Linked DNA regions of Tamandua tetradactyla. The protein of the gene in region 4 interacts with the protein of the main gene of each other region in a pairwise test. Links are inferred from orthologs where the notes say so. Each region holds a gene or a part of one and is shown on either strand. Other genes may lie near its edges.

Region 1 (7,558 bases), on a different chromosome or scaffold from region 4:
TTATTTGGCTTTATAGTTAAGAGCAAGCTATGCTTTAGTTTATACATAGCTGTGTGTGTATACATATTCGATATTACAATAAAATAATTTTCATCAACATTGGGTATCCATGACAGTTTTTTCCCCTTTATTCAATTGTAAAAAACACTACTCTGAGAAAGAAAGCAATATTCTCTTTTTTTGGTCACCTTGTTTTCTTCTATAAATATCTAAATACCTACTATGGGGCAGAAGTTGTGCTAGATGCTCCAGGTATAATGATGAAGGCTACCGTGGTCTCTGTTCCATGGGCAATGTATGCAGGGAAAAGGATAAACAGATAAGAACAATAAATAAATCTTAATGATTTGTGGTATTATAAGAGAAATAAACAGGTGGCAGTGATAGAGAACAATAACATAAAAGGAAGATACCTAATTGAAAGAGGTGCCAGGGAAACTTTTTCTGAGGAGGTATCTTTAAAGCTGAGACTAAGAATAAAAAAGAGGAAAGTAACAGAGACTTTTTCATAAAAAAGAAAGGAAGAAGAAAGCTGAATTACTTGTGGTTCCCTTCTCAGCTCCTAGCAGCTACCTCTCCTCTACTCTATTTTAATCTCCTTTTACTTCAGATAGTCAAACATCCAGTAGATACTTAGTGAACATTCTCCGCCTATATGCCTGAAATTGTGCAAAGTTCTATGGAGGAAAAATAAAACACCAATTCAGTCTTCAAAGACCTGTACTAAAAAAGTAACAATTCATGCTCAGATATGACCTCTCTCTCTCTAAGCCCAACTCTGTAAAGAAAATCATTACCCTCCCCCCTATGTAGGACAAGACTCCCAGGGGTGAAAGTCTCTCTGGCAATGTGGGACATGATTCTCAGGGATGACTCTGGCCCTGGCACCATGGAATTGACAATGCCTTCCTGACCACAAGGGGGAAAAAGAAATGTAACAAAATAAGGTATCAGTGGCTAACAGAGCTCAAGTAGAGTAGAGAGGCTATTCTGGAGGCTACTCTTAGGTAACTTTCAGCTAGCTATTGCTAATAGCCATGTTTTGCCAAACTCAATCAACATCATTCCTGTTAACCTAAAAAATATCTAGGCTCTATTTGAGATTCTACGAAAGTTTCACATGTGAACATTACTTTCCAGAAACCTACAATCTCCAGGTAGTTCCTAGGCCAGATAAGACCTGAAACGCAGAGGGGCTAGCCTCTTCAAGAATATCAACGAGTTTCATGCACTTATCCCATATTATCAATACCCTTTCCAGCATGAAAAAGTTAGAATGGGAAGAGCACAAATACTCTTAAAGATTGGGCGAAGGATCAAAGGAGAAGGAGGAGTTACAACAGAGAAGATAGGATTTAACAAATGAGTATGACTACTGAATCACTGTATAGATATTCCTTTTAGTCTTTGGTGTCTTGAAGCAGCTAGAAGGAAAAACCTGAAATTGTTGAACTGTAACCCATACCAAACTTTGAAATCTGCTCAATAACTGCTTGTTACAATGTACTTTGGAATTTATTGCTTTTTTGTATATACAATATACTTCACAATTTTAAAATGTTAAAAAAGTAACAATTCAAACTCTACCATACAAATTTTCAACTCGCTTATTTTTTTAAGGAAACCTCACCTAAATTCCCAACCTGCAAACATAAATTTATAAAAACAAGAGGAATCTGTTTGATTTATACGTTTTATAAACTATAATGTAATTTTTCTGCTCTTCCACAACCTATAACGTCAGTTAACATAATAATGGCACAACTTTGTGACCACACAGACCCAGATTCAATTTGTCACCACTAGGACTCCAGGTATGAAGTTCTGAGCTTCAGCTTGCTCAGTTGTAAGCTGGGGCTCACAATATCTAACTTCTCAAGTGATTGCGAGTACTGGATAACATTAGGGGAAGCAGAAATAGGTAAGAATAGTTCAGATAACTGGAGGCAGAACGACCTGGGTTCAAAGCCAGGCTCTGCTAATTACTAATCAACTACGTGACGCCGAGAGTTACATAATATTGACTCTAGGTTCAGCTGTAAAATAGAGACTGGTGGGTGTGAGGATTAAATGAGATAATGCATATGTAAAATGTCTAACACATAGCACTTCATACAGCCCTGATTACACTTCCACCTATTGCGGAAATTACTCCTTTCCGAGTAATAAGTGGAACACATCAGATGCTCTCATTCATTTCTTCATTCAACAAAATTTGCTGAGCACGTGTCAAGCGCTGTGTATTTGGGCCGGCCTTCAAAATTCAGTTCGAAGCACAGTGCAAGTGTAAAAATGGGAGAAAGTGACTCTTTCACCTTTTTTCCTCCTCCTCTTTCACTTTTACATGCAGTTCTCCAGCTCCTCAGGTTCGGACACTAGACCCTTAGGCCCCTTGAGTCTCACGTCCCCCGCCAGGGTGAGGCCTCTCAGGATCTGCCCTCAGTTTCCCCCAGAACGGCCTCTAACCCGGAGGCCCCTCGGGCATCGGACTCCAGTTACCAGTTCAGGGGCACGCCCCTTCAACCACAGCGCCTGCAAGTCTCGCTTTCTCCACACCCTCAGACTCCACCCCAGGCTCTGGCTCAGGTCCCGGGAATATATGCTCGTTACTTCCCGCGCTCAGGTCCCGGGAATATATGCTCGTTACTTCCCGCGCTCCTTACCTGGAGGCCACTTCGTTTGTTCCAGGTGAAAATGGACCCCGGATACCCGCTCAGAGCCAAAAGCAATTCGTGGATCATTCCCACGGAGGAACGCGAGTCCTTGGATACGTCACCCTCTCCTCCGGCGTCCCTCCAGAAGACCACGGAGGCGACGCTCCCTCCTTGGCGAACGCACAAGCCCGTGAGCGGGAAGGTTCTCCTCAATGAGGCCCACGGATAGAACTGCTGCGGGAAAAGCAGATGGGAAACCCGACAGAGGTCTGCGCGCCGAGCACCGGAAGTGCACGGCGATCCGCCGGGCCAGCCGGCTCTCTAGCTACAGTCTCCGCGGGAGATGGAGGCGCCTTGGCTGCTCGCGCATGCGCCTTTTGTGTCCCGAGTCTCCCGCTCGGACTTCCGGTTTGGGAGCTGGACTGGGAGGCTGGAGAGCTGGGGCTGGGGCCGGACCCGAAGTGGGTGAGGTTGTCCTGGGTAGGGATGCGAGTGGGTTAAAGGACAGCCCCTGAGGGAGACGCTCCCAGGGGTGGGCCGGGGGGGGCGCTCTTAGGGTGCCTTAGGCCGATTGAAGGCCTCTAGAAGGGACTTCACGGGGGCTCCAAAAGTGACCCGGCCAGAGGGAGCCAAGACAAAGAGGCCGGAACCCCTTACCCGCCCCTGCTTAAGCTGAGCCCCGCGCCCGCGAACCCCGCAGCACTCGGAGGCTCTGGTCAGCACCAGAACTCATCATTCCCAGGAAACCCATCACCACTGCCCTCTCCAACTCCTCCACCAACTCGATGTTACTCTCTCCAAGTCTGCTCGGCCTTAGTTTCAGGAGCCTAAGCCAACTTTAGATGCGCATGGTTTCCTTTCAGTAGCTCCCGAGTCCTTGTTGAGCAGTTTACTAATGCTCTGAGGGAGAAACAAAGATCCGATATTCAGTAATTGATTTTTCTCTGGGATGGAAATTGGTAGTTGTGAAGTTGAAAGGGGCGGGGCGGGGCGGGGCGGACTCAGAGGGCCTCAGGGAGGACTGCGAGGGTCCTGGGAGAGATCATCTGCAACCCGCTGGACAGAGACTTTCCATGGCTTTCAGCAGGTCGTGAATTGCCTTTAGATCCTCCCGAGCTCCAAGTCTCCCATATGGTTCAAATTCACTGTCATTGGTCAGGGGAGCTAAATAGTACCAGATAAGGGGGATGTGGGACAGGACCCCACACAATACTATTCTCTGCTGCTTCCCCGGGGCTGTCCTGGACGTCACCCACAAAAGGCAGCTTTTGAAAGGTCCCACTCCTTTATGCTCATAGTGTTGGCTTGCTGCTCTGAAGATGGTGCTACCTCAGATGGCCACTTGGAGCATATGGGAAGTCAGGCCAATCCTGACAAGACTTTAGGCATATAAATATATTCCTTCTGATAGTGCCATCTCTCTCTATTATAGGAACAAACTCCTCTCACAGAGAGAGAGTCTTCTGCAGGTGCTTCTCCAAGGACATGGGAAAATAGGTGTAGGCCCTGGAACCCAGACTTAAGTGGAGGGAAGCTGCTTTCTGCTATGAATGATGGCCAAACCCACTTTGAGAGGGAATGGCACTAACTCTGAGACCTTCCGCCAGCGCTTCAGGAGATTCCATTACCAGGAGGTGGCTGGGCCCCGGGAGGCTTTCAGCCAACTCTGGGAACTTTGCTGTCGGTGGCTAAGGCCGGAGGTGCGCACCAAGGAGCAGATTGTAGAATTGTTGGTGCTAGAGCAGTTCCTGACCATCTTACCTGGGGAGATCCAGAATTGGGTACAGGAGCAATGTCCAGAAAGTGGAGAGGAGGCAGTGGCTCTGGTAGAAGATTTAGAAAGAAAGCCTGGAAGACCTGGACGTTCGGTGAGAAGGGAGAGGGAATTCAGAAATGTGTGATTGGAAAGGGGCAAGGGTAAAGGGCCAGATAAATATATAGATAGTTTTAAAGAAGGGCATAGTCCCTTTTTGCAATTTTAACTGCAACAGGTAAGTTTTTCGGATAGAGCTTGTCTGGAAATTTTACCTGGGTGTACCTTTACCTACCCTGCCATAATGAGTTATTCGTGGTTTCTTACTTAATAGGGAAGACAGAGGGATTTTTCTTTTTCTAGCCTGTAGTTGGGTTTATTGTTTTGATCTTTTCCTTCTAGAGTTCAGCTGCTCTAAGCTAACAGTAATGGAATGAGACCCATGTTCAGTATTATCTCCTCCCCCTATAATCGCAGCCGTGTCCCAGAGGATGCTCTCTTTTGGGGTATTAACTAATCTCCTTTGGGAATGCCCCCCCCCCACTACGACCATGCAGTGACAATTAATGGGGGTTGTTTCTAGGTCACAGTCTCTGTGAAGGGGCAGGAAGTGCGCTTGGAGAAGATGACACCCCTGAAATCATCACGGGAGTTATTAAGTGTTCGGCAGGAGTCAGTGGAACCCCAGTCCAGGGGTGTACCCAAGAAAGAGAGGGCGAGAAGCCCAGACCTGGGACCACAGGAGCAGATGAACCCAAAGGAGAAGCTCAGACCTTTTCAAAGGAGCGGTGAGGAGTAGATTCATGTGGGAAGATAGCATACCATTCTAACTGGGGAAGTAAGGTTGGGAATAGAAAGTGGGAAAGGGATTTCAGGAATAAGTGGAAAATTGTAGAATATGCAGATGTTGGGGACCTCCTGAAGACATGTAATTTAGCCCTCTGCCTACAGTATTTTTATATTTCTACTTTTGATAAATCTGCTAGAGGATGGCTCCATAGTTTTATCAGAATTTGGAACTATTTTATTTCCTTTTGGTAATGATGACAGTGGGTCACTATTTTCTAGATAAAACTTATTTTCTATACTTGAAGACCCAGCTTCTTTTATTCATTTTCCTTCTTCATATAAAACTATATTTGTTGTTTAAGCTTTGCCCCTGAAGCTGAATTCTTCAGACTTAAGTTTTTTTCTTACTCTCCTCTATAACCTTTAAGTTCACCAGATGTCATGTTATTTGTGGAGAACTATTCCAGTGAGTGTCTGGTAGGTAGAGATAGAATGAGAGCTTTTCTTTCACAATTTTGCTACATTTTCTTTTAGTATAGTCCAATTTAGGATTATTTGATCATTCTTGTTCACGTGGTAACTTCCAGGACTCTTATCACTTTCTCTATTACAAGTGTGCCTAGTTGCTAATTCTTGTACTTGATTTTGTAGAACTTGTTTTTCTTCTTTGTACTCTATTGAACTCCATTTTGCAAATTACTTTGTTCTTTAACTTTTTGAGGCTATTTTGAATTCTAATCTTATCGTCCAAGATCTTAGCCTTCTCAACCAGTTTGGTAATGGTCTTTATCTCATCATCCAGATCAAATGCCTGAACCACACACCAGACTTGCAGGTTAATCAGAAAGTGGTTTTTGAATACCTACCACGTGCTCAAAACCTTGCAGAGTACTCTGTGCAATAAGAAGAGGTGCCTGTCTTCAAAGATCTTACAGTATGATTGAGGACGCACAGCAAATTATAAATACGTGCTGAACAGAATTGTATTGAAACAGTGCCAAACAATGACTTACCACTCAGTTGTGTACTATATCTGTTTGGCAGAGTGAGAGATAAGGTAGGGATGGTGTAGGGAAAACTTGAGGGCACTGGTATATAGAACTTCTAGAAGGATGGGTTCAATATGATAGGACGGAATTAAAGGAAAAGTACAGAATGGTGGATAAAAGGTATGCTGTGCTCTGGAGAGAACAGTCTAATATGCATGGAGAGTGTGTGGTAGGCAATAAGGTTAAGATTCAATAAGTAGGATAAGGCTAGATTCTGATCTCAGAAACTGCAGGGGAGTTTAAATTGGATGAGGTTAAGATTTAGAGAGTTGATGAAAGTTCTGAGCAAGAAGAGATGTGATGGGAATGGTGTTCACAACACACTAATTTGGCAGCAATAGTATTTTAATTGAGGAAGTGAGGGCCTGAAGCGAGGTAAGGCAGTGACTGACTACTGTGGTTATCCGGGTGTGACGGGATAAGGAGTCTAGACTTGGATAGTGCCAATAAAATTAGAGCAGAAGGACATACTAAGGGAAATGCCTTTAGACCTTGGTAGACAATCCCCTATTTCCCACCCTTGAGATTACACAGAGTTTAATTCTTTAGCCCCAGATGAAGCAACTGTAGGAGACAGGAGGTGACTGTTCCCAACAGCATTAGGACTTGCATACAAGTGGTGGTCAGAAGCCGTAGGGAGCAACTTGGAATAGAATTATCTGCTCTGAGCATACAACAGGATCTCTTCATCTCTAGTCACCCTGCTCTGGAAAAGGAAATCTTTCTCATGTTTTAAGGTTTCCAGTATTTTTACTTTCCTCAACAAAGTGAACTTTCTGGAAACATTTCCCTAGATGCTTTCCTTATAATCATCTTGATAAAAAAGACAGGACTAAACTCACAGGTGTTTTATGAGCAGTCCAAACTATGATATCCTTTGTTTACTTCCCTGCAAGCAGGATTTCCATTTCCTAAATATGGTGTGGCCTCCAGGCTGGAGCAAGGAGAGCCATGGATCCCAGATCTGCTGGGCTCCAAGGAGAGGGAATTCCCAAGAGGCGATCATACAGGAGATAGACGAATGCATGCTGATCTGTTACCAAAAAGGAGAGAGAGAAGAAGCTGGGTGGAACAGGATCCCTGGGGCTTTGAGGATGAGAAGGTGGCAGGGGTACACTGGGGCTATGAAGAAACCAAAACTCTCCTCGCAATTCTCAGCCAGACTGAGTTTTATGAGGCTCTTAGGAACTGTCATCGAAACAGCCAAGTATATGGGGCTGTGGCTGAGCGACTCCGGGAGTATGGCTTCTTCCGGACCCTGGAACAGTGTCGGACCAAGTTCAAAGGTCTCCAGAAGAGCTATCGCAAAGTCA
Region 2 (7,682 bases), on a different chromosome or scaffold from region 4:
TTTCATTTCTCTTAGAGTGGAATTGTTAGGTCATATGGTAATTATTTATCTAACCTTATGAGGAACTGCCAGGCTGACTGTTCCAAAGTATATGCACCATTTTACATTCCAACCACTAATATGAGGGTGCCAACTTCTCCACATCCTTACCAACACTTGCTATCATGTGGCTTTTTTATTATAAAAAAAAAGCTGCTTTTAAAGTGTTCATTCAATCATAATATGCCCATTATTTTTATGGACTTTAAGATGCTCTTATTCGCTGACATCAAATTTTAAACTTGAAAAAAAATTCAGCCCTAGACCTGTTCATTTAGCCTGCTCACCTTTTGTATAAGGGGACAGGAGACCAAAAGGGGGATAAGAATTATATCAGGCATCAGTAGCTAAGAGAGTTCAAATAGAGTCAAGAGGTACTCTAGGGGCTACTTTAACACAAACTTCAGCTAAATATTGCTATTTATCATGGTTTGCCAAACTACAATCAAAACCATTCCTGACAACTCTAAAGAACACCTAGGGCTCTACCTGAGATTCAATAAAGGTCCAACGCACTATGTTTACTTGCCAAAAACCTACAACCTCCAGATGCTTCCCAGGCCAGATAAATCCTGAAACCCAGAGGGGCCAGCCTCTCCAGAACTTCAGCTAGTTCCATCCCCCTATCCCATATTATCCACAGCCCTTTCCAACATGAAAAAGTTAGATGAACATAGACCAAATACCCCTAAAGATTGAGAGAAAGATCAAAGAAAAAGATGGAGTTAGAGTAGCTAGGATTTAACAAATGAGTATGACTGCTGAATCTTCATACTAATATTTCTTTTAGTCTCCAGTGTCTTGGAATAGCTAGAAGTAAAAACCTAAAATTGTGTGACCCATACCAAACTCTGAAATCTGTTCTATAACTAATTGTCACAGTGTGCTCTGAAATGTATTGCTTTTTGTATATGTTATTTTTCACAATAAAAAAAATAAAACAATCAGGGAAAAAGATAATAATGAAAAAATTAAAAGCACCACATAAGACATAATTAAAAATCACGGCCTCTCAATATTAAAAAAATAAATAAAATAAGGGGACAGAATACAATAACTAAACCGCCATCCACAAATAAAACTCTTACAGAATTCTGCTCAAAGAGATCAGTAGCAGATTTTCAAGCAGTCAATAAACAAAGTCCCTAACAAGGATTCAGCAATAAAGTAAACATGTATTCCAATTAAAACTCATTTGTAACGCCTCTTTCACAAATATGAGAGCCCTTCAGCTATCATCATCTGCAAAAGAACCAAGATGTCTTAGGTTTTCCCACCGAGAAATGGTAATCTATTTAAAATTTGATGTGTAAGTACAGACCTAGTACCATAAATACACATAATGCCTGACTACTCTTTGACCCCAAACCAAAGACAAATTGCACGGTGCAGCCTTTTTCCAGTTCTGCCCACCACTGTTCCTTATATTCTGAAGGTAGCACTGCCAGTAGAGCAAGCAGCAAATAGTACTAACACATTTACAGCAGCAAGACCAAGAACTAACCAGGAATAGGACTGAAGAACCTCAGCACCTAGTGCCACATGTCACCCAGCAAATGTTTTCCAAGAGTCAAAAATGACATCTTAGCCCGGAAGGGAGATAAACTACTTCTGAGCTGTGGAATTAACTTTCTGTTTCCAGGTCAGACCACTTCTGAGATGTGGAATTAACTTTTTGTTATCAGGTCAAAGTTCTGCACTTTGACTACTTTTGCCACTGTAGTGAGAGCACTGAAAACACGCCTGCTTCCTTAAGAAGCTAGAGTCAACACATGCAAGCATTTACGGCAGAGTTGGAGGTAGCGCTCCATGGCCACTGTTCTACTTGCCCATGCCCATGCCCTGCATTTTCCTGCTTAATTAGAGAAAGCATTTCCAACTCAGACAAATTTAATATATATTGTAAATAGTATGCATCTACTATGTGCCACTGCAAGAAGACACAAAAAGGTATAAAATATAGTTCCTACAGGAGAGAGTTTAGGTAAGAGTTTCCTTCCAGAGGAAACACAAAAAAATTATGTTTAAAAGAGCAAGTACTAAAAAAAAAAAAGAGCAAATACTATTTTATGTTTTTTGCTTAAGGCCAAAAGGGCAATAACACTACTGGAGCTCAGAGGGAGTATCCCCAGGAGCTAGAATGTTTTGTGAGTGTTTCACAAAGAAGGTAGGTAGGAAGGTAGGACCTGAGCTGAATCCCAAAGGAAAAGAACTGGAGCTGTAGAAAAAGGGCATCCCAAACAGGCAAAGGCCCTTTGATTCAGAGAGGATTTGTGTAGGGAATAACGTATTGAATGTTTAGCAAACCATTTTGAGGTGGGCTAGAGCCAGCTTCACAACAGCAACCTGAATGCTAAATTAGGACATCAGATCTATATTTCATAAGCCTGAAGCAATTCCTGACTTCTGTGCAGGATCTCATTGAAGTATTTCTGTTCCCTCAGATAGTTAAAAGTGTCCAACTTCAAAGGTGAATCACATAAAGACAAAGAAGTTAAAGGAGATTTAGTGTCCACTATTATAACAACACTTTCACCCATTCGCCTCAAAAATATCCAGAGCAAAAATACTACTATCAGCTAACTTTGGGTGATACCATGCTCAATAAAGAATCACCCACTACTCAAATATTCATGAGGAGGTAAGAGCATTAAATAAAAGCAATAAAAGTTCTTAGATATTCTATAATATTCCTTGGGTGAGCAGTTCTAACATAGAGTTAGTCTATGGAGTGGATTTCAATGGGCCCTTGAACTCCCTAAAATTGTATGCAAAAGGTAGTGCTGAGAACTTTTATAAGGAAAAAGCCTGTCTCATTCTATATCTCAAGAGATCTAATATCCAAAACAGGCTAGAAACCTATGGGTTATTTTAACAGAAACCAGCAAAAATTTAACCCCATTAAACGGTTAATTTGGGAAGCCAGGTGCCTGACTTTCTAAAGGAAGAGTTAGTGGAAAACAAAGATATCTTGAGGCAATTTTCAAAAGTCCCTATTATTTTAATGTTTCCCTCCCTTCTTATCAAGAACTGTCCAAGAAACTGGTCTCAGCAAAGTCAAAACTCATTAATGATTCAAAATATGGCCCCGAAGAGAGCAATTTAATAACTAAAGACTACTCAGCTCTCTCTTCTCACAAGTATAATCTCAGACAAACAACAGACGAACTGGGTTCAGTATTTGCTCTCCAAAATGACTCCTAAGCAAGAACCTGGTTTCTTTCAAAATCAAACATTCTTAGGTGACAAGATCCTGACACAAGTGCACAAAGTACACTTTTGTATGACCGCATACAAGGAGCCTTTGTGGAGAAGCTATGGGACCAAAGGAAAGAGAAATGTGTTCTAGAGCTATCAAAACTGTTTCTAGACCTGCACATTCTACCGGGGTTCTCCAACCACCCCCCAACTCCACCCTGTCTGAGAGAAAGGAACCTGTTTTCATAAGGCAAGATACATTTAGTACTGTTCTGTTAAAAGTTCATTTTAGTAGTTCAATATCATCCACTACAGCAAAAACAAGTTTCATTTCTTTTACTGACTCGAATACACTCCTGTATTCCTTCATCAAACTGGCGGAACAACACTAGGGGACACAACCAACCAAATCATGACTGTAACATTCACTCTCTCCTAGAGAAAAAGAGGAAGACCTTACCACACTCCAAGAAGTAGTAGTCGAGAAGCCAAAATAATTATGTTCCAAAATAAAATTCAGGAATCACGGACATTTAACCAAGCTCTTCAGGAAGAAGCAAACGGGTACCGAGCTCTGAGGCGCCGGGAAGCGTGGTAGAGGGCCCTGTCAGAATCAAAGCGCCGTGACACCGGCCTGCCTGGCTGGGTCTTTCGCCTGCGTCTTCTAGTCTATCTCCGGCGGTCTGAAAATCACTCGCAGGAGCGACAATTAGGAAAGAGATGCGAGTATTTCCCATCCGGGAGCCACACAACACCCCTGAGAGCATCAGCGCTAGGGCCCAGCGGAGACCCGGGCTACGATCGGAGAAGCCGGTTTCCAGCTACCTCGTCGGCCCGCCCCCGGGTGCGTGGCTCTCCGACTCCATCCCTGCTGTCCCTACGGCCCGGCCCCACAGCCTCGGCACCGGCCTCTAGTAAGCCCCGCCGATGGCCAGTCAGAACGCTCTAGCAATGTTCGGCCAATGCCCTAGCCCCGCGCCCGCCAGCCCAAACCCCGCGCCCACCGCCGACTGCAGGGCGGCTGTCAGGCGGGCCTTTCGGTCCGGCTCCTGTCACTCACCGGCCCAGCCCGGGCAGCGGGCGCCCACGGCTCCCCACGGGAGCTGGGCCCCCCGGGCCTCCAGATTTCGGCCCGCCCCCAAGCAGACAGCGCAGGTGGCTGAGCCCCGCAGCAGCGGCCCTAAACCGGCCGCTCGATCCAGCTCCCAGCGCTGCCCACTGGGTACGGATCAACAACAAGATGGCGGCCAGCCGAGGGGGCGGTGACCGGGCGTCATAGCAACCAGGACAACGAAGAGCCCGCCCCTAACTTAGGTTATTTCCAATCAACAGCCTCTGCGCCAGCCGCCGGAGGGGTGCTTCCCACTGACAGGCCGGCCCGCCTGTCAGTTAAACTGTGCCCCGCTAGGCCCCTGCTGAAGCCCCGAGCACGTGACTATGACGCACGGGTTGGCGCGTGCGCGTCGTGCCCCGAGTCGCTGGCGGCAGAGTTCTTGCCGGCTACTCGAGGACTGAGCGCCCTTGGTCTCTTTGCGCGCGCGGGCCCCGTGCAGAGCTGGCAGGGTCTTCCCACACGCACGCGCACACACTTAGGGAATGCCTGCTGTGTGCTATTTGCTTTGTCACCCACGCTGGGAGGAAGGAGTTGTCCCCGGTTTACTGGTGAGGAAACTGAGGCGCAGAGAGTGAAGCCTAGGCCAAGGTCACTACTAACCCATGGTAGTAAAGGTGCAGGGTCTCGTATATGTGCTTACTGACTCGAGAGGATAATGCCCTCTTCCCAGTGGCGTCCCCAGCTTTTCCCCTCATCTGTCCCGAGGGTTGCCGTCTGCTGCCCCGGTAGCCCCTGGCCCTTTGCTTTAGCTGCTCCTTTTGTCTGGAACTCATCCCTAGTACAAGCCCTGGCACACAGCGGACACTCCCTCCTCCCTGTCCTAAAGTATCTTGTCTTGAGTTTCTATGACAGCATCTTTTGCCCCGGACTGTCCTGACATGCCTTCAAAACACCCTCCACGGGAATTTTGAGTCCCTGCAGACGGTTATCTCTGGTTCTCCACACAAAGCACTGGGTTTCGCTCCAGGCTTTGGCGCCAGGCGCAGTTACACACCCTGGGGTCCAATGTTACCCGACTAGCCAGCTCTGTTACTTTTGAGCCTTGGTTGACCCACCTGTAAAACGAGGATAATGGTCATGCTCCTTAGAGGTGACAGTGAAGATTTAATGAGCCCTTAGAGCAGAATAAGTGCTCAGGAAGAGTCCACCTGCGGATCTTTCCTTTAACAGCCTGCTCCCAGTTTGCCATCCCTGAGGCCTGATCTGATGTCCTCACTTTAGTGGGAGCCTGAAAGAGATGCTTTTCTCCTTGCAGAAGGCCTTGGGCTGCTTCTATGGTTACCATAACTGGCTCGGGAAGGAACGGCCTTCAGTGGCATCAGAGGGTTCGGACCCACAGTCTTGGTTGAGGAGGGGGGGAAGACTGAGAGAACCTGGGAACACCTTAGTAAGGGTAGCCTCACCCAGAGAGTAGGTCCCCTTAGCTAGCAGTAGCCGGAGACCTGATTCCAGACTGGCATCGATTCCAGAATGGACCAGCACTGCACCCAGGGGACCCAGCCCTCCAGGTTGCTGTGGGTCACCTAGCTATGTTCAGTAACTCATCTCAGCATAGGACTGATCATGGGCCAAGGAACGAGAAGAAACTCAGAATGAAATGGGGCACCGTCCAAGAAGGGCGCCACCATCACCTCCTCCACAAGTAGTCATACCATAGTCTTCTCAAGTCTGCACCACCCCCACCCTAGTGCAAAAGTTCCAGATCCTTCCCACAATGACCCACACACGTTGAGCCAATTGCCATAGAGATTGGTGGGTCCTTCAAACAGCAACTTTGTCCTCTTCCAGTGAGAAAAGGAAGCTTGTGGCTCTCCCTGCCTGCCAAAGCTATATGGCCTCTGAGGGGACAGACAGATTCAAGGTCCCCCTACCTCCAGGGAGCATCTGGCAGTCATAGCATTGTATGATGACTTCTTAAAAGAAAAATAATCCTGTGACTCCCTGGAGTGTGCCCACAAGGTAGGGCATTCTCCAAGTGAGAACAAAGAAACACAGACCTCACAGCTTCCACCACTGGGATTTTGAGGATTGTAATTTTGTTTATTGTTGAATCAGCTTGAACACACAGGCCATGACCAAGTGAAAAAGAAATTCCACACATAGTGAGACAGCTGCTTGACCTCAGAGCCATCGCCGGGCTCCTGTGCACGTGTTGAACAGGTAATCTCTGCCTGTACCTATGTCCAAATGGCCAGGAGAGAGGAAGGGCATTGCCAGCCTCAACAGAACTGCCCCTCTGTCCTAAAGGTAGGGAAAAGCATTCCAGGACTCTGGGTGTGACTCTCTTCTGCTGGGATCCAATCTTTCCCCTCCCTCCCTTCTCAACTCAGGAAGTCCTTCAAGGCCTGGTTCAAATGCCCAGGAAGCCTCAATGCCCCAAAACTGAATGCTAGCTTTCATAAGGCCAGTGCCAGATCATTTTGCCATATTTCACTGGTGACACTGGAGTAATCTGGGAGCCCCACCCCACCCTACCCCACCATGGATAGAGAGACCAGACCAGGTCTGAGTCACAGGTGTTTAACAGACTTTTTCTGAGGAGTGAGCAGGAATGAAAGCAGACCCAAATCAGGGAAAGAGTAGATACTGGATGCCTAATGTTAGTTGGAGATAGGGCCCAGGTGGAATATGGTTTGGGAAGGGGAAACTCACAGTAGTCCTGTGCTCTGCCATCAAAATGCTGATGAGGGGGAAAATGAGAGGTTGCAATGAATTGAACTCTGCCGACAGAGGAGCAGATGGAGGCCTGCCCCTGAAAGGGCCAGAAGGCCACCTGCCTCCCCCATCCTGATGGAGCAGTCATGTGTGTTTGCACGGGGGCAGCCATCCATAAGGAAAAGGGCAGGCTTGAAAGGGCAAGCAGTACTCTGGAGAGACCTCAGTGCCCACTACTTGGATGGATGGGTTGCCATACCAGGCTCATGACACTGCTGGGTGCCTGAGACGTCTCCATCCTCGGTGCCTCTGTGAACCCCTCAATGGATGCCTCAGTTCCCTGGATGCTGGGGAAAGTAGGAGCAGGGGATATAAAATAAGGCTCTTGGCCCCAGCCTGAGTTTAAGAGGTGGGCTCCCAGTATGGAGCAAAGGCAGCTGACCTGTTCAGCAGCAAAGTCTGGGCTGGTTTGCTCGATGCTTGCAGCACCTGGACCACCCTAAAATGCCAGAAAGAGGGACCAAGAAGTAAGGACAACAGGCCTGATAGCTCCGGGAACCAGTACCATTCATCCACCCCTTTATCCTGAGGACAGCCAATATCTATATGTGATGCTCACATTGTTACCCCACCTCTCCTTGGGCTAGTCCTGTGCTCACAAGGAATCCAGAGCAGG
Region 3 (7,806 bases), on a different chromosome or scaffold from region 4:
TTAATAAGTAACCAAACAAAATAAAAACAGTGTTGAGTATTTCTTTCCATGAACAGGGAACCCTCAGACATTAAACAATTCAATCCACTGGAGGGCACAAATTCGGAGCCAGAAAGCCTGGGTTTAAATCCCATCTCCACTTCTAACCTTTTTTGGGCCTCAATCATGCATCTGAAAATGGGATAATAGTACCCACTTCATAGGGTTGTTGTGAGGGTTAAATGAGTGAAAAATGTCCAGTGCTTATCCTGGCATAGTAAGTGCTATGTAAATGTTTGCTATTATTATTTTTATCACTATTACTAGACCATTCTTGAAAACAAACACCTCCTCCTCCCTCCCATTTCTCCCACTGGGTACACATCTTTTTCTCCTTTAATTCACATCTAAACTTCTGGGAGAGAAAAAGGTTGTATATAACCCTATCTGGTTTTCTATAGCCATCAAAATAGTTCTCAATCCTAGAAAATGAAATAAAGTAATAGAGACCTAAAAGACCTATCAACCAAGTGTGATATATGGACCTTGTTATATGGTCTTTTGTGGATTTGAACAAATCAACTGTAAAAATTTTTTGAAGCTTTTCTTTTACTTTGAAAAATTTCAATCCTACAGAACCAATGAAATAGTATAATGAACACCTGTAAACCCTTCACCCAGATTCATAACTCATTAATCATCTGTTACATCTACTTTCTCTTTTTCTCTACAAACTCATGCTTTTTTTGCTGGACCATATGAAAGTTCCAGGCATCATGACACTTTACCATTAAACACTCCTGTGTGTAAATAAGGCCACTGTCCTTCAAGAGTGCAATGCCATTATCACATCCAAAAGATGCCCAATAAATATTTGTGCAAATGAACAATACAAAGACCATAACTGAATGCTTATTAGGTGCTGTGTTTGGTGCTAAGCTTTGCATTCTCACTTTCTTCAGCCCCAGCCCCGAGAAGGAAGGGAGTTGGGTCCTAAAGTATCATCCATGGTAGCCATGGGAAGAGGAAGAAGGGTATTGATAATGGTGGTGTTTTTAGACACTGTCCTCATGAATGGAACTTACTCTGTGAGAAGGCTGCTCTTACGATCAATGAACTTGAGAGCTTCTGCCAATGTCAGCTCCAGGAAAAAGCCATATCCAATGGCCACAAAGATCCGTGAAGTGTCTGGGCTAATGAAAGAGTGGTTAGAGGAGGTGTAAAGTTCTTTACATCATTTAGCATACCAGCCAGTTTAAGATGTTTTCTGATTCCTCCCTACCCCCAGCCTGGCCCAAATTGAAGCTCTGGGAGGGCAAGACTTTTGTCCTACTTTATTCACTGTCACATCCCCAGAACCTAGCATGGTGTCTGGTATATAGCAGATGCTCAAAAATATTTTGTTGAATGAAGGAGGGGGGATGCTGAACCTTGTAGATTCAAAGGTAGGTAGATGGGTAGGCACTCACACCACTGCGTCAACGAAGAAGTTACAGCCCAAATCCACCTGCATATATAACTCCGAATGGTTAGTTTCCTATGGGGTGAGGGAGAAAGAGGTAGGGGTCAGGTGTCAGATTTTATGTCAGGTGACAGGTCTTGCTCTGGAGTTTCTTCTCCCATCTCCCAAAGGTACCCAACCCTAGTGTTTTTACCTGGAGTTTTTCAATGACGTTTCTCAGTTGAAGGTATTTGGCCAGCTGCTCATATACCTTGTCACGATGGTCCAGCACCTTTCTGATGGGGTGAGAGTCTAATTGGTGACCAATACGTGATCCTGTCCCTCTGGGGATACCTGATATCATGACCCTCTGAGACCCTCATGTTACCACGCCATGAAGAGGCATTTTGGTGCAGAAGTTAAGATTTTGGCCTCTGGAGTCAGACTACCTGGGCTTGAATCCAGGCTCTCCCCTTTACTAGCTTGTGTGACCTTGACAAGTAACCTCTCTGGGACTCAGTTTTCCCATCTATAAAACAGGGATGACAGTGTTACCTCAAATTCATTAGGAAGATTAAATGAGTGTTTCATATAAAGTGCTTAGAATAGTGACTGCCAAACAGTAAGCTCTACATACATGATAGCTATTAATTATTACTATTATTATTATACTCCAACCCAAATATCTTCCTCGATGAGAATGTCCCATCTTTACCCTAGAAAATTCTCATAGCCCTAGTTCTGAGCACTCTACTTCCTGCTTGGATTATGATACATTAATAACAATTCTTCATACTCGTTGAGGCTCTAGTATGTTTCCAGCATTCATGCTAAATTCTTTACAATGATAGGATTCATTGAAAACCCAAGGCCACTGCATGAGGTTTATCTACTTCTCCATTTCACCTCTGGGGAGACTGAGGCACACAGAGGCGAGGAACAAGGTATTCACACGGATGGCAAGTGGCTGAACCGGGATTCGAACTTGGGTCCAGAAACCTAGCTCTGAACCATTACGCGATATCATAGGCTACGTAGGCGCGGACGTGCCTGCCACTCTGAACGCCAAGTCCCAGCCAAACCTCACCCCAAATGTAGTCCTTCCTTCCGGATAGCAAGGGGCGAGGGGACGAGCTCCAAACGCCCGCTCACCAATCAGAAGGTTCGGCCCTGACTCTGAACACCCCGCCCACCACGTGGAGCTTTCCAAACGTCCTGCCCCGTATCCAGTCACTCACTGCAGGTCCCGCTGTAGCACGTCGCTGATAAATGCCTCATAGCGCAGCACTTTCTCTGCCGTGGCTTCCAAGGCCCGCCGTTTAGGGGGCGGGGGCGTCGCCATGATGGGCTCCTGGACAGTTAGGAGGGGGAAGACATGTTGATCACTCCAATTCGGCCTCATGACCAGCACATCTCCACCCTCCTGACGTTGGGAATGGGCTCGTCCGACCCAACCTGGGGGTTCCGCCTTCCGTCCCTCCCAACTCTGGGACACTGCCATTCAGGGACATCCAAATGCGGCCCGTACCTTAGAACCGCCAGGAAAAAGAACGGCGAGTTGGTATGAACCGCGGCTTCCGGGTGGCGCGGATGAATGATGTAATGGCAAGCCGGATGGCCAATCATATGGCCAGGTATGGAGGGGGCGGTCCTGAACGGAAGAAGACTGGCCAAAGCGGAGAAGAGAAGGGCGGAGCTTTATGTATCCGAAGCGAAGTGAAGACTGCGGAGCGTGCGAGTAGGGGCTGTTTTGGCAATGAACCAGCTAGTAGGGACAATGAAAGTTACGTGCGGAGCTTATGGGGAGCATGCAGAACTCGTAGGGGTGGGGTTTAATGGGATTTGGCGGGTTCTGGGGGAGGTGGGACTCACAGGTAGAGATAGAGAAAGGGAGTAAAGCATTTGATATTTAAAAGGAAGGGCTGTGGAAAGAGACCTGCAAAAGTTAATTATGGTTCTGGTCTGCAGGGAAGGGAGTACATCCCATGTAACCTATCGACCTGGATTTGATTTTTACTCACCTGGGAGATTTGAGTTTGAATCACGGTAATGGTAATGAGTGTGAGCATTTAAACTTTTTTTTTTTTTAACGGAGTCAGATTGTCTCAAATTCATCATTGATGACTGCAGCTTTGCGGCCCACAATCCATAAATGGGGTTCAAGTGGACATTAACCTGTTATGTCTAATTGCCTCTAATTGCCTCTTGTAGTAGGGAGGTCATATGGAGGGTCGATGACGTTTTCCACTCACGTTTGGCTATCTCGTAGTAGAAATAGTTCCTGTGTGTTTTATTTAAATTTGTAAGCTTTTTTTTTATTGTTACGTTCTTTTTTAAAAAATATTTTTTATTGAGAAATCTTCAACATACATACAGTCCATACATGGTATACAATCAGTGGCTCACAATATCATCATATGGCTGTGTATTCATCACCATGATCTTTTTTGAACATTTGCATCACTCCAGAAAAAGAAATAAAAAGAAAAAAAGAGTAAGCTAGCAGGATAACATTTTAAAAAGCGTTTTCATCCATCGACATTATGCCACTAAAACAAGTCCTTTCCAAAAAATGTTTATTTGGTACAAAATTTATATTTTGACTAGTGCAGTCCCTAATATAACTTATGTGGACAGCTTAATTGAACACAATAAGTACTTGGAACCTTGAGCAGGACATAAGATTTTGAAGGTTTGTCTAGAGTGATGCCCCCATAAATCCCAGGATGATTTGAAAAGTGAATAAAAAAGTTATTTGCAAAGTCCCCTTCGGGGAATGGTGAGAAAAGGGGAAAATTCAACTTCCCCAAGTGGAGAATTCTTGATACTCTCACAAGCAGTGGGGACAACTAAAGCAATAGGCTGAGTCCCCAATCTTGGGGTTTGTTTATATGAAACTTAACCCCACAAAGGATAGGTTAAGCCTACTTAAAATTAGGCCTAAGAGTCATCCCCAAGAGAACCTCTTTTGTTGTTCAGATATGGCCTCTCTCTCCAGCCAACACAGCAAGCAAACTCACTGCCCTCCCCCTCTTTACGTGGGATATGACTCCCAGGGGTGTGGACCTTCCTAGCAAGGTGGGACAGATATCCTAGAATAGGCTGGGACTCAGCATCAAGGGATTGAGAAAACCTTCTCGACCAAAAGGGGAAAGAGAGAAATGAAACAAAATAAAGTGTCAATGGCTGAGAGTCCAAACGGAGTCGAGAGGTTATCCTGGATGTTATTCTTACACATTAAGTAGATATCACCTTGTTATTCAAGATGTAATGGAGAGGCTGGAGGGAACTGCCTGAAAATGTAGAGCTGTGTTCTAGTAGCCATGTTTCTTGAAGATGATTGTATAGTGATATAGCTTTCGCAATGTGACTGTGTGATTGTGAAAACCTTGCTTCCGATGCTTCTTTTATCTACCTTAATGACAGATGAGTAAAACATAAGGATTAAAAATAAATAAATAATGGGGGAACAAATGTTAAAATAAATTTAATAGATTGAAATGCTAGTGATCAATGAAAGGGAGGGGTAAGGGGTATGGTATGTATGAATTTTTTTCTGTTGTCTTTTTATTCCTTTTTCTGAATTGATGCAAATGTTCTAAGAAATTATGATGTTGAATATGCACGTATGTGATGATAGTGTGAATTACTGATTATATATGTAGACCAGAATGATCATATTTTAAGAATTTTGTGTTTGTTGTTATATATTTTTAAAAAAATTAAAATTAAAACAAACAAAAAACCAAGTCCTTTCTTGAGCAGCTTTTGTTGATAAAGAGGAGGACACTTCTATAGTTTAAGTTGCGTAGCTGTTACAAAAGACAAATCATGTCTCCATCTCCAGTTTTATCATGGTGCTCTATGAGGATTGTTTTGAACTAGATCTATTTAGGCAATATATATTTGTAAGCAGGGAAAGAGAAAATAATTTAAAATGGATACAACTGGTAAATACATTTCAAAATCAGTTGCAGCAGCTTGATTATGGGGTGTTTGTTTCCCAAAGCTGGGCCCAGTGAAACTGGGTTTGGGAATTGGTTGGTCATTATCCCTCCTTCTGTTCCAACAGTGGCAACAGCCATTTTTCATGAGGGATGAGCTATAAAAAATGAAATATCTACAACAGGGAGGATTTCTGCAACTTCAAGAGCAAGCTCCATAGAAAACCCAGCTACCTGCTTATCATAGTGGCCAGAGGAAATATAAGAGTTATGGATTTGGAATTAAACCATGCAGTGCTAATTAGGGATTAAACCATACCGTAACCAGAAAACGCCAAAAGGGAAGGTTTATAAGTTCTCTGGGAAGGCATGCATTTCTTCCTGTCTCTGGGGCCAAATGAGAACCTAGTAAAAGGCCTTATACTTGTTCAAATGGGCACCCAAAATACTTGTACGATGAATGAATAAATGAAAAAAATGAATGAACCTCCTCCTTAAAAAAAACAACTCATACATACCATACCTCTAACTGCTCCCTCTCATTGACCACTAGTATTTACCACTAGTATCTCCATCTACCCAATTTATTTTAATCTTTGTACCTCTTATTATCTGTTTATTTTTTATCCACATTTTTTACTCATCTGTCCACACCATAGATAAAAGGAGCATCAGACACAAGGTTTTCACAATCACACAGTCACTTTGTAAAAGCCATATCATTATATAATCATCTTTAAGAAACAAGGCTACTGGAGCACAGCTCTACAGTTTCAGGTACTTTCCTCTAGCCACTCAAATACACCATAAACTAAAAAGGAATATCTATATAATTTGTGTGAACAACCTCCAGGATAATATCTTGACTCTGTTTGAAATCTCTCAGCCACTGACACTTTATTTTTTCTCATTTCTCTCTTCCTCCTTTTGGTCAATAAGGTTTTCTCAATCCCTTGATGCTGAGTCCCATCTCATCCTGGAATTTCTGTCCCACATTGCCAGGGAGATTTACACCCCTGGAAGTCATGTCTCACATAGGAGGGAAGGGCTGTGGGTTCCCTTGCCATGTCACCTTAGAGAAAGAAACCACATCTGAGCAACAAAAGAGGTTCTCTGGGTGTGTGTGTGTGTGACTCTTATGCCTAATTTTAAGTAGGCTTAGCTTATCCTTCGCAGGAATAAATTTCATAGGGGCGAACCCCAAGACTGGGGACTCAGCCTATTGATTTGGTTGTCCCCACTGCTTTGTGAGAGTATCAGAAATTCTCCAAATGTGGAAGTTGAATCTTTTCCCCTTTCTCCCCATTCCCCTAAGGAGAACTGGCAATTACTTCTTTATTCACTGTCTGAATCATTTTGGGATTTATTGGGACATCACACTAACCTGGACAATCTAACAAAATCTCATGCCCTATTCAAGATTCCCTGTACTTAAGGTGTTCAACTAAACTGACCACACAAATTAAATTAGGAAATGCACTACCCAAAATATAAATTTTGTCCCAAATAAACATCTATCCCTTTAGTCTCACACAGAAGTCGAAGTTTTAAGATATGAATGATACTGTCCTTTTCCCAGTCTTCTTATATACCTTAGTCCTGTCCAGATCAGCTTCATTCATATCTCTACTCAATGTCTGATCACTTTTTCAACTTTTTAAACTGTTCCTGTACGGGGTACTGCTTACTTTCATAGCTTCAGAGCTCTGACTCTGAGTCTTAGGTGTCACATAAATACCCGAAGTTTCTGGGAAAGATCATGTTACATGCAAGCAGCTCAGTATCTCAGAATTTAGAATTAACAATTACATCTCCTGAATATACGTGACTGCTGTAAGAGCCTAGAATCTAGGACCCTTTACAAAAGCCCCAACCTGATAACCCATGCTCTCAACTTTAATTCAGTGAGTTTTTATATTATAGTTAGACCATATAATTGAGGCATGACAATATTTTTCTTTATCCTGACATTTTATTCAACATTCAGTTCTTAAGGTTCATTCATCTTATTGCATGCCTTCCAACTTCATTCCTTCTTGCAGCAGCTCAGTAGTCCATTGTATACACCATTGTTTCCCCTTCCAGTCCTCAGTCATTTTATCCTTAGGCTACCCATTCTTTGTGGATAGTGATCACTGCCGCCAGAAACACCAGTGTGCGAATGTCCATTCATTTCCCCACACTCAGTTCCTCCAGGTCCAATTGATTTTTGACAACAATGCCAAATCCACTCAATTGGGAATGAATAGTCTCTTCAATAAATGGTGCTGGGAGAACTGGATAACCACATGCAAAAGAACGAAGGAGGATTCCCATCTCATATCATATTCAAAAATTAATGCAAAATGGATCAAAGACCTAATATAAGAACTAGGACTTAAAAACTGGTAGAAGAAAACAAAGGGAAGCATCTTCCAGACGTTGTGTTAGGCAGTGGTTCCC
Region 4 (7,805 bases):
TTTGCTCCTTTCATAGAGTGTCTGTGAATATTAAAGAAAAGTAATTGGGGGCAGAAAAGATGTGCCAAAAGCAAAGGGGTTAGGCCTGGCCAGGGTCTTTACACAATGCTTTTGAATGACTATGTAGAAGGGAAGTTATCAAATTTCTGTGCACCAAAATCATCTATTAAGGTTTACAATGTACAGTTTCTATTTGGAATGATGGAAAAGTTGTGGTAATGGATGGTGGTGATGGCAGCCCAACATTATGGATGTAATTAACAGCAATGCATTATATATTTGAATATGGTTAAAAGGGGGAAATTTTAGGTTGTCTGTATATTACTAGAATAAAAATTTTTTAAAAAATCATTAGGGAAGCTCATTTAAAATAAAAGTGCCTGGCTTTCCTCCATGGCTACCAATTTGGAGTGAAAACCAGATTTCTGAAGGCCCCTGAATAGTTCTAAAGCACCACCTAGATCCCCCTACAGTGAAGGACTCACTTATCCCGGGGTGTGTGGTCAGTAGGCAGCCTTCAGTCATGGGATCATCTCAGTGGAAGAAAATGGCCTTGTCCAATGCCACAGCCTTTCCTGGGTAGCCCCGAAGCAATGGCCAATGATTAAAGATTTTGTTGGTCAACTTTGGGTCAGCTCTGAAGGCCACCCCAGATCTCCCTGGAGCATTGGCCAAGATGCCACGGGGCCTGCATCCCTCTCGATTTCTCCCTCTGCTGCTTCTGTTTTCTTCTCCTCCTGTCCCAGGGCATTGTGTCCAAAGGATACTGCTTAATAAACTCCCCAAACACTGACCTCTGTCCCAAAATCTGATTCCTAGGGAACTAATTTGCTGTTTGAGAATGTGAATCTGAAATCCAGGTCCACTTATGTTCTCCCTCACCCTAAAAACTTTCTCAGGTCCTCATTGTCCCCAAAGTCCTTCACATGGAAGTTAAGGACCTTCATGGTTTAGTGCAAATCTTTCTTTACTGTCTCATTTCTCCACATCCTCTTCATAATCCTCAAGCCAACAAGGCCAACCTTTTTTCTGTTAAACTTTGGCATTTCCATGCAGGAAGCCTTCGTGTAAGTGTTCCTCCACCATTAGCTTCCCCTACCTTTTTCCTGTTGAAATCCTATTGGTTCACAAAGATACCATTCAGATACTGCCGGAGTCTTCCTTAGCTCCTCAGGCTCACTCTGGCCTCATTTCCTTGCTTGGAGTTGTCTCGATGTTTGCATGCCCTGCTCTTAATCCTGTGTTTTCCAACATTCCATTTCTCTATGTCACTTAACCTAGTGCCCCAGCCATGGGAGATAAACAAAGCATTTGTTGGATTAGCCAATGGTAACAAAGCAGTGAATTTCTAAAATGCAAAATTGGACCTTTAGGACAGCGCCATAGACCATCTCATTGAAGGAAGCTATTGCCCCCTTCACTGCACAGATAAGAAAGCTGAAGGAACTTGCTCAAGATTACATAATTAATTAATAGTAAAAGACAAACTTAACTCAAATCTATTGAGTTTTTATTGCACATGTATTTTAAAAGTCTTTTTTTCCTATCAGGGCTCTTATTATTATTTCAAATTAGCTTATTAATTTATTTATTTGCTTACTAATTATCCGCCTTCTTCCCTCTGGGAGATAAGTCCTGGGGTACAACACCTGGGCCTATTCCAGTCGCTGTTGGTCCCTGACACAGACAGCACCAGCAGCCCCTCGGTCTTCAAGGGGAGACCCCAAGGCCAGGCCCCCATTGCAGCTGTGTCCAACCTGCACCACTCAAGGGACCCCTTGGGGCTTGGGTCTGGCCTTCAAGTACCTCCAAATGGAAGCTTCTGGAAGAAGGTACAGCCCTCCTGCCCGCGAGCTCACTGGGTCTACAAAGATGCCCCCCACCAAGGCCTTTGCCCCCTGTGAGGCCCCAGAGGACAAAGAGGCGGGTGGGCGGCGAGAGGCCGAATGGAACTGTCTGCTCATTCTGGCCTCCTGGGCCACTGTGGCCACCGCCCAGGGACGGTCCGGCGACCCGCCACCTGGAGCCCAGACCCCAGAGCCACATCCTCGGAACGACCCGCTGGGAGGACCCAGGCCTTTGGGTTCACGTTTTAAATTAAAAATATCGTACAAAGAAATCGAAAACCTATTTTGAACCACTTTTAACATAGATTATGCAATTGATTAAATTCCCTTAAAAACTTGGATCTGAATTACATATTTGATATGCCTGATTATTTTGATCACTTCAGACACTTCAAGAATGGCCAAAAGGACCACAATTTTCCTCATAATTACTGCCACACATTCAGAAGTATTCTGAAACTGAGTATAGGAGATTTAATTCACTCTAACTCTCTTTACACTTACTTTAATAATTCTTAGATTTAGAGTTTTTCCTGTTTTTGATAGTCCCCAATGTTTCCTAGTATTATTATTACTTTTTTTTTCCAAAGAGAGAAAGAGTTTATTGCTAAGCGTATAGTAGGAGAGCAGATGGCCTAGTGGCCCAAAGTCTGTCTCCCAGAACCACAGTAATTGTGATAACTTTATTAGAGAAAAATTGGGCAGGGTTTAGGATAAGGAACACAGTGGCCCCAGATGATGTAATTAGCGGTGATCTGATTATTGAGCATATGTTGATTCCTGCTTAGTCAAACAATGAATGTAAGAAAATGGCAGAATGAGGTATAGGTGACTTGTAGCTTAAAGTCTAAGCTACTGTGCATGTCAGGTGAGCCCATTTTGGTTTGATGGCTAATATTGTGTTGATAACCTCCCAGGGTTTCAGTAACCTTACAAGAACCTGCAAAAAGGTATTTATCTTCTCAAAATAGCCCTAATTGATGAAGATGGGCTGCTACATAAATCACTAAAAAAATATAATGTTTGGAGTATAATATGCACACGTAAGTACAAACTAAACGTACCCATATAATCAGTCCTCAGAAGAAGAAAGAGCATTGCCAAGTGAGCAGAAAGAGTTAGCACAGCAGGTCTGGTTCACCCAGTTCCCCTTTAAGTGTGTTACCATGGTGATGACCCTTGGTCAACTCTGAGAACTAAAAGACTCTAATGTTCACATAATGACTAGGTAATCATATTAGTCCATATCCCTAAGCACTGGGTCAAGACGGACTGTGTTTGTCATGTAAAGTAAACACCAGGATTCACGATGTGCATTGGGGGATTGCTTTGGGGTTCACACCATGGCTGGCCATGTACCAGATAAGTTCTTCCATTTAAGAGCTTTGGAACTCAAGACTCATTCTGACTTTCCTGGGCACAAACATCTGGCATAAGTCCCTGAAATTCATATCCAGAGAAGACGCTCCCTGAGATACCTGCTGAAAGAAGCAAAAAAGCTTGTTGGACTGTTTGAATGGCCATAGCCCAAATACCCCTAAAGAGAGGGCTAGAAAAATCAAAGGTGATGGTGTAGTTATACAGAGAAGATAGGATGTAGCAAATGAATAGGAATGCTGAATCATTAAACTGATATCTCTTTTAGTCTCCAGCATCTTAGAGCAGCTGGAAGTAAAAACCTAAAATTGTGGAATTGCAACCCATGCCAAATTCTGAAATCTGGCCTACAATTAATTGTGGTGCTGTGCTTTGAAATTTATTGCTTTTTTATATATATGTGATTTTTCACAAAAAAAAGAAAGAAAAAAGTAGATTGTGATGATTAAAAAATTGTTATTCCTTCGAGCCTCCCATATTCTGGAGCAGCTAGAAGGAAAAATCTGAGAGGATCATATGGTAGCCCATGACAAACTCTGGGGTCTGTCCTGTAACTATTTGTTGAAGAATGCTTTGAAAACCATTGCTTTTTCCTTTCTTTGCTTTGTGTATATGTTATATTGTGCAATTTTAAAAAGTTTGAAAAAAAGAATTAATTGTAAAAAAAAATTTTAAAAGCCGATTGGACTTCTAATGACTTTGCTGGTGCATAACTTTTTCCTGCTGGTCCTGTGCTGTATCCTATGCTGTCATAAATCTTAAGTGTGAATATAACTTCATGTTGAGGGAAGGACCTCAACCATGTCAGTTCTTCTAGCTAATTATTGAACTAGTGGGTGGTCATGGGACCGCTGAGACAACCAACATCTCAGAAGACCCCTCTTACCTCCTAAAAATCACTACCTCTTCCCAATAATAGCTACTATCTGCACTTTTTTTTTTTTTTTTTTGGAGTTTGCCCTGCACGTTTTTGGAATTATTTGAGCCTAGTGACCTCTGTTTACCCTTTTTTTAAAAATTTTTTTTATTGCATAATATAACATACATACAAAGCAAAGAAATAAAAAAGCAATAGTTTTCAAAGCACTCTTCAAAAAGTGGTTACAGGACAGATCCCAGAGTTTGTTGTGGGCTACCATATTTTTCCTTCTAGCTGCTCCGGAATATAGGAGGCATATATTCTTTTTTATCATCACAATTGACTTTTTTTCCTTCTTTTTTTGTGAATAATAACATATATACAAAAAAGCTATATATTTCTAAGCACAGCACCACAATTAGTTGTAGAACATGTTTCAGACTTTTAACATGGGTTACAATTTCACAATTTTAGGTTTTTACTTCTAGCTGCTCTAAAATACTGGAGACTAAAAGAGATATCAGTTTAATGATTCAGCATTCCTATTCATTTGTTAAGTCACTTTTGATCTTTCCATACCTCGCATTGGGGTTGTTCAGGCTATGGCAATTGTAAAATTTTTATATAGGAAGGGTCTGCCACTAATGTGAGATAGAGAGATGGAAGTATCTGATGTTCTGGAGAGGCTGGGCTAGTTTGCAGAACTTGTCTGGACCAGGGACTCATCTGGAGAGTGTAGATTTCTGGCAAGTTACTCTAGTGCCTGAAACCCTTGTGGAATCTTATAAGTTGCCCTAGGTATTCTTTAGAATTGGCTGGAGTGGACCTGGTTGGGGGTTGGCAGGTTATAATAGGTAGCAAAGTTTACCTGAAGCTTGCATAAGAGCCACCTCCAGAGTAGCCTCTCAGCTCTGTTTGAACTCTCTCTGCCACTGATACTTTATTAATTACACTTCTTTTCACCCTTTTGGTCAGGAAGTAATTGTTGATCCCACAGTGCCAGGTCTGCGAGTCCTCTCCCACACTGCCAGGGAGACTTTTACCCCTGGATGTCATTTCCCATGTAGCATGGAGGCCAATGATTTCACTTTCAGAGTTAGGCTTAGAGAGACTGAGGCCACATCTGAGCAACAGAGGTCCTCCAGAAGTAACTCTTAGGCATGCCTACTCTAATCGTCTAGGCTACCTACATAAGCTTCACAAGAGTAAGTCTCAGGATCGAGGGCATGGCTTATTGATTTGGGTGTCCCTGAAGTTTGACACAGTATCAGGGATTCCCTGATGGTAAGGCTTAATAGTTCCAGAGTCTTTCTCCCCTCCCTCAGGGGACCTTGCCAATACTTTTTGATTATCTGGTTAATATACTCTAGGATGTTTCCAGGCATTAATAATCTATACAGGATTAAAGGGCCTCTTTCTCATTCTGTGCTCTCTGTGTTTCAGTTGTTCAAATGAGCTATACAGATAGGTTGAATTAGATTATGCACTACAGAAAATTTCAGTTCCAGACCAAATAAACCTTTCTTCCATTGCTCTGAAAGAGTATGTGTGGTTCTAAAACATAGACATTGTCTTCCTTACCCCTATGCTCTGAATTACTTTAACCCTAACCTGCTTGACTTTGTTCTTATCTCTAAATATCAGGTTATATATATATCTATTTATATATATATGTCAAAGTCCAGAAATAATAATCACCACTCTGGACCTAATGTGTCTGCTCTAAAAGCTTAAAATCTAGGCTCCTGTTTTCTTATAAGCATTTTCTAAAGGTGACCATAACATTGTTGTTTTTTTGCTTCTGGCTTATTTTGTCTCACCAAATACCCTACATGTTCATTCACACCATTGCATGCTTCACGACAATGTTCCTTTTTGTAGCAGCACAGCATTGTTCATAAGTATACACCATCATTTGCCATTCTACTTCTCCATCACTGCATCCTACAGCCACCAGCATTCATCGGGCCTAACGTCCACAGTCCATCAACATTCTCAATTTTAGATAATTTCATTGCTCCGAAGAGACAGAAAACCAATAAACATACTCTGACCAAATAGGAGATCTAAACTTCCTCTTAACTCTTGTCCCTCACCCCATTATTTACCTCTGCTGTTGCTGTGGTAATGCTGATGGTCTCCTTTTGAACATAGCTCACAGCATGCAATAGCTGTTTTCCCCCTGTACCCTGGACTTAAACACTCTTTATACAAGAATCAAATCTTTGAAGTAATTCTTACAAGAACTCATTCATATTTCAAGTGTGAGTCAGTGAGATACATAGGTCTATACAATCCCTTTCAATCTTGTTCATCTTCAATATGGTAAAATTACTTCTAGACCCACTAGAGAATCACCTTCACTCCTATCTATTCCCTTGCATTGGAGTTCAACCTCATTAGCTAATGGTTCATCCATCTCTAGCTTCTAAGCATCTCCAAGTCCCCTGTATTCTATATTATAAGTCTCTGATTATACCTTCATACTGGGCATAAAAGTGGAATCATACAGTATCTGTCCTTTTTTCTGTCTGGCTAATTTCACTCAGCATTATGTCCTCAAGGCTCATCTATCTTGTCATGTGCTTCAGGACGTCATTTTGTCTTTCTGCTGCATAATATTCCATCATATGTATATACCACATTTTGTTGATCCACTCATCTGTTGATGGGCATTTGGTTTGTTTCCGTCTTTTGGCAATTGTGAATAATGCTGCTATGAACATCGGTGTGCAAATGTCTGTTTGTGTCATTGCTTTCAGCTCTTCTGGGTATATACCAGGTAGTGCTATTGCTGGGTCATAGGGCAGCTCCACATTCAGTTTCCTAAGGAACCTCCAAACAGTCTTCCATAGTGGCTGCACCATTGTATCTTCCCACCAGCAGTGCATAAGTGTCCAAGTTTCTCCACATTCTCTCCAACATTTATAGTTTCCTGATGGCTTAATAACAGCCAATCTTATAGGTGTGAGGTAGTATCTCATTGTAGTCTTGATCTGCATTTTCCTTATAGCCAGTGAAAATGAGCATCTCTTCATGTGATTTTGAACCATCTGTATTTGCTCTTCATAAAAATGCCTATTCATATCTTTAGCCTATTTTATAATTGGATTGTTTGTTCTTTTGTTGTTGAGTTGTATGATCTCTTCGTATATACAGGAAATCAAACCTTTGTCTGATATGTGATTTCCAAATATTTTCTCCCATTGAGTTGGCCTCTTCACCTTTTTGACAAAGTTTTCTGAGGTGCAGAAGCATTTGATTTTGAGGAGATCCCATTTATCTATTTTTTCTTTTGTTGCTTGTGCTTTGGGTATAAAGTTTAGGAAGCTACCTCCCAATAGTAAGTCTTGAAGATGTTTCCCTACATATTCTTCTAGAAGCCTTATGGTGCTAGTTCTTATATTTAGGTGTTTTATCTACTTTGAGTTAATTTTTGTATAAGATGTAAGATACGGGTCCTCTTTCATTCTTTTGACTAGTGAGATCCAGTTCTTCCATGCCCATTTATTGAAAAGCCTTTTTTGTTCCAGTTCAAAGAATTTGGGGGCCTTGTCAAAAATCAGTTGACCATAGATTTGGTGATCTATTTATGCCCTCTCAATTTGTTTCCATCGGTCAATGCTTCTGTCTTTGTGGCAGCACGATGCTGTTTTGACCACTGTGGCTTTATAAAAGATTTTAAAGTCTGGGGGTGTTAATCCTCCCATTTAGTTCTTATT

Evidence for each region.
Region 1: the proteins of PAK5 (region 4) and TUBGCP4 interact in a two-hybrid assay, tested with the Homo sapiens proteins (2 studies listed by BioGRID and IntAct). The two-hybrid records come from large-scale screens. The link is inferred for Tamandua tetradactyla from reciprocal best matches to the Homo sapiens genes PAK5 and TUBGCP4.
Region 2: the proteins of PAK5 (region 4) and INKA1 interact in binary tests that used the Homo sapiens proteins (3 or more experiments, as listed by UniProt). The two-hybrid records come from large-scale screens. The link is inferred for Tamandua tetradactyla from reciprocal best matches to the Homo sapiens genes PAK5 and INKA1.
Region 3: the proteins of PAK5 (region 4) and UXT interact in binary tests that used the Homo sapiens proteins (3 or more experiments, as listed by UniProt). The two-hybrid records come from large-scale screens. The link is inferred for Tamandua tetradactyla from reciprocal best matches to the Homo sapiens genes PAK5 and UXT.

The regions. Positions count from the first base shown.
Region 1 is NC_135340.1:57,627,008-57,634,565, reverse strand, and holds the start of TUBGCP4 (gamma-tubulin complex component 4), read right to left. Parts: upstream 3,017-7,558; 5' UTR 2,742-3,016; coding exon 2,664-2,741; intron 1-2,663. Other genes in the region: ZSCAN29 (zinc finger and SCAN domain-containing protein 29), read left to right, coding at 4,205-4,522, 4,991-5,195, 7,145-7,558. UniProt on the Homo sapiens protein: Component of the gamma-tubulin ring complex (gTuRC) which mediates microtubule nucleation.
Region 2 is NC_135341.1:36,327,188-36,334,869, reverse strand, and holds the start of INKA1 (PAK4-inhibitor INKA1), read left to right. Parts: upstream 1-4,668; 5' UTR 4,669-4,899; intron 4,900-6,139; 5' UTR 6,140-6,310; intron 6,311-6,346; exon of another isoform or gene 6,347-6,406; 5' UTR 6,407-6,472; coding exon of another isoform or gene 6,473-6,528; 5' UTR 6,529-6,538; coding exon 6,539-6,598; intron 6,599-7,003; coding exon of another isoform or gene 7,004-7,031; intron 7,032-7,265; coding exon of another isoform or gene 7,266-7,353; intron 7,354-7,448; coding exon of another isoform or gene 7,449-7,503; intron 7,504-7,682. Other genes in the region: CDHR4 (cadherin-related family member 4), read right to left, coding at 6,473-6,528, 7,004-7,031, 7,266-7,353, 7,449-7,503. UniProt on the Homo sapiens protein: Inhibitor of the serine/threonine-protein kinase PAK4. Acts by binding PAK4 in a substrate-like manner, inhibiting the protein kinase activity.
Region 3 is NC_135353.1:122,466,613-122,474,418, reverse strand, and holds the start of UXT (protein UXT), read right to left. Parts: upstream 3,015-7,806; 5' UTR 2,949-3,014; exon of another isoform or gene 2,876-2,948; intron 2,772-2,875; 5' UTR 2,763-2,771; coding exon 2,659-2,762; intron 1,717-2,658; coding exon 1,635-1,716; intron 1,517-1,634; coding exon 1,449-1,516; intron 1,173-1,448; coding exon 1,065-1,172; intron 1-1,064. UniProt on the Homo sapiens protein: Involved in gene transcription regulation. Acts in concert with the corepressor URI1 to regulate androgen receptor AR-mediated transcription. Together with URI1, associates with chromatin to the NKX3-1 promoter region.
Region 4 is NC_135327.1:50,970,906-50,978,710, reverse strand, and holds the start of PAK5 (serine/threonine-protein kinase PAK 5), read right to left. Parts: upstream 3,009-7,805; 5' UTR 2,912-3,008; intron 1-2,911.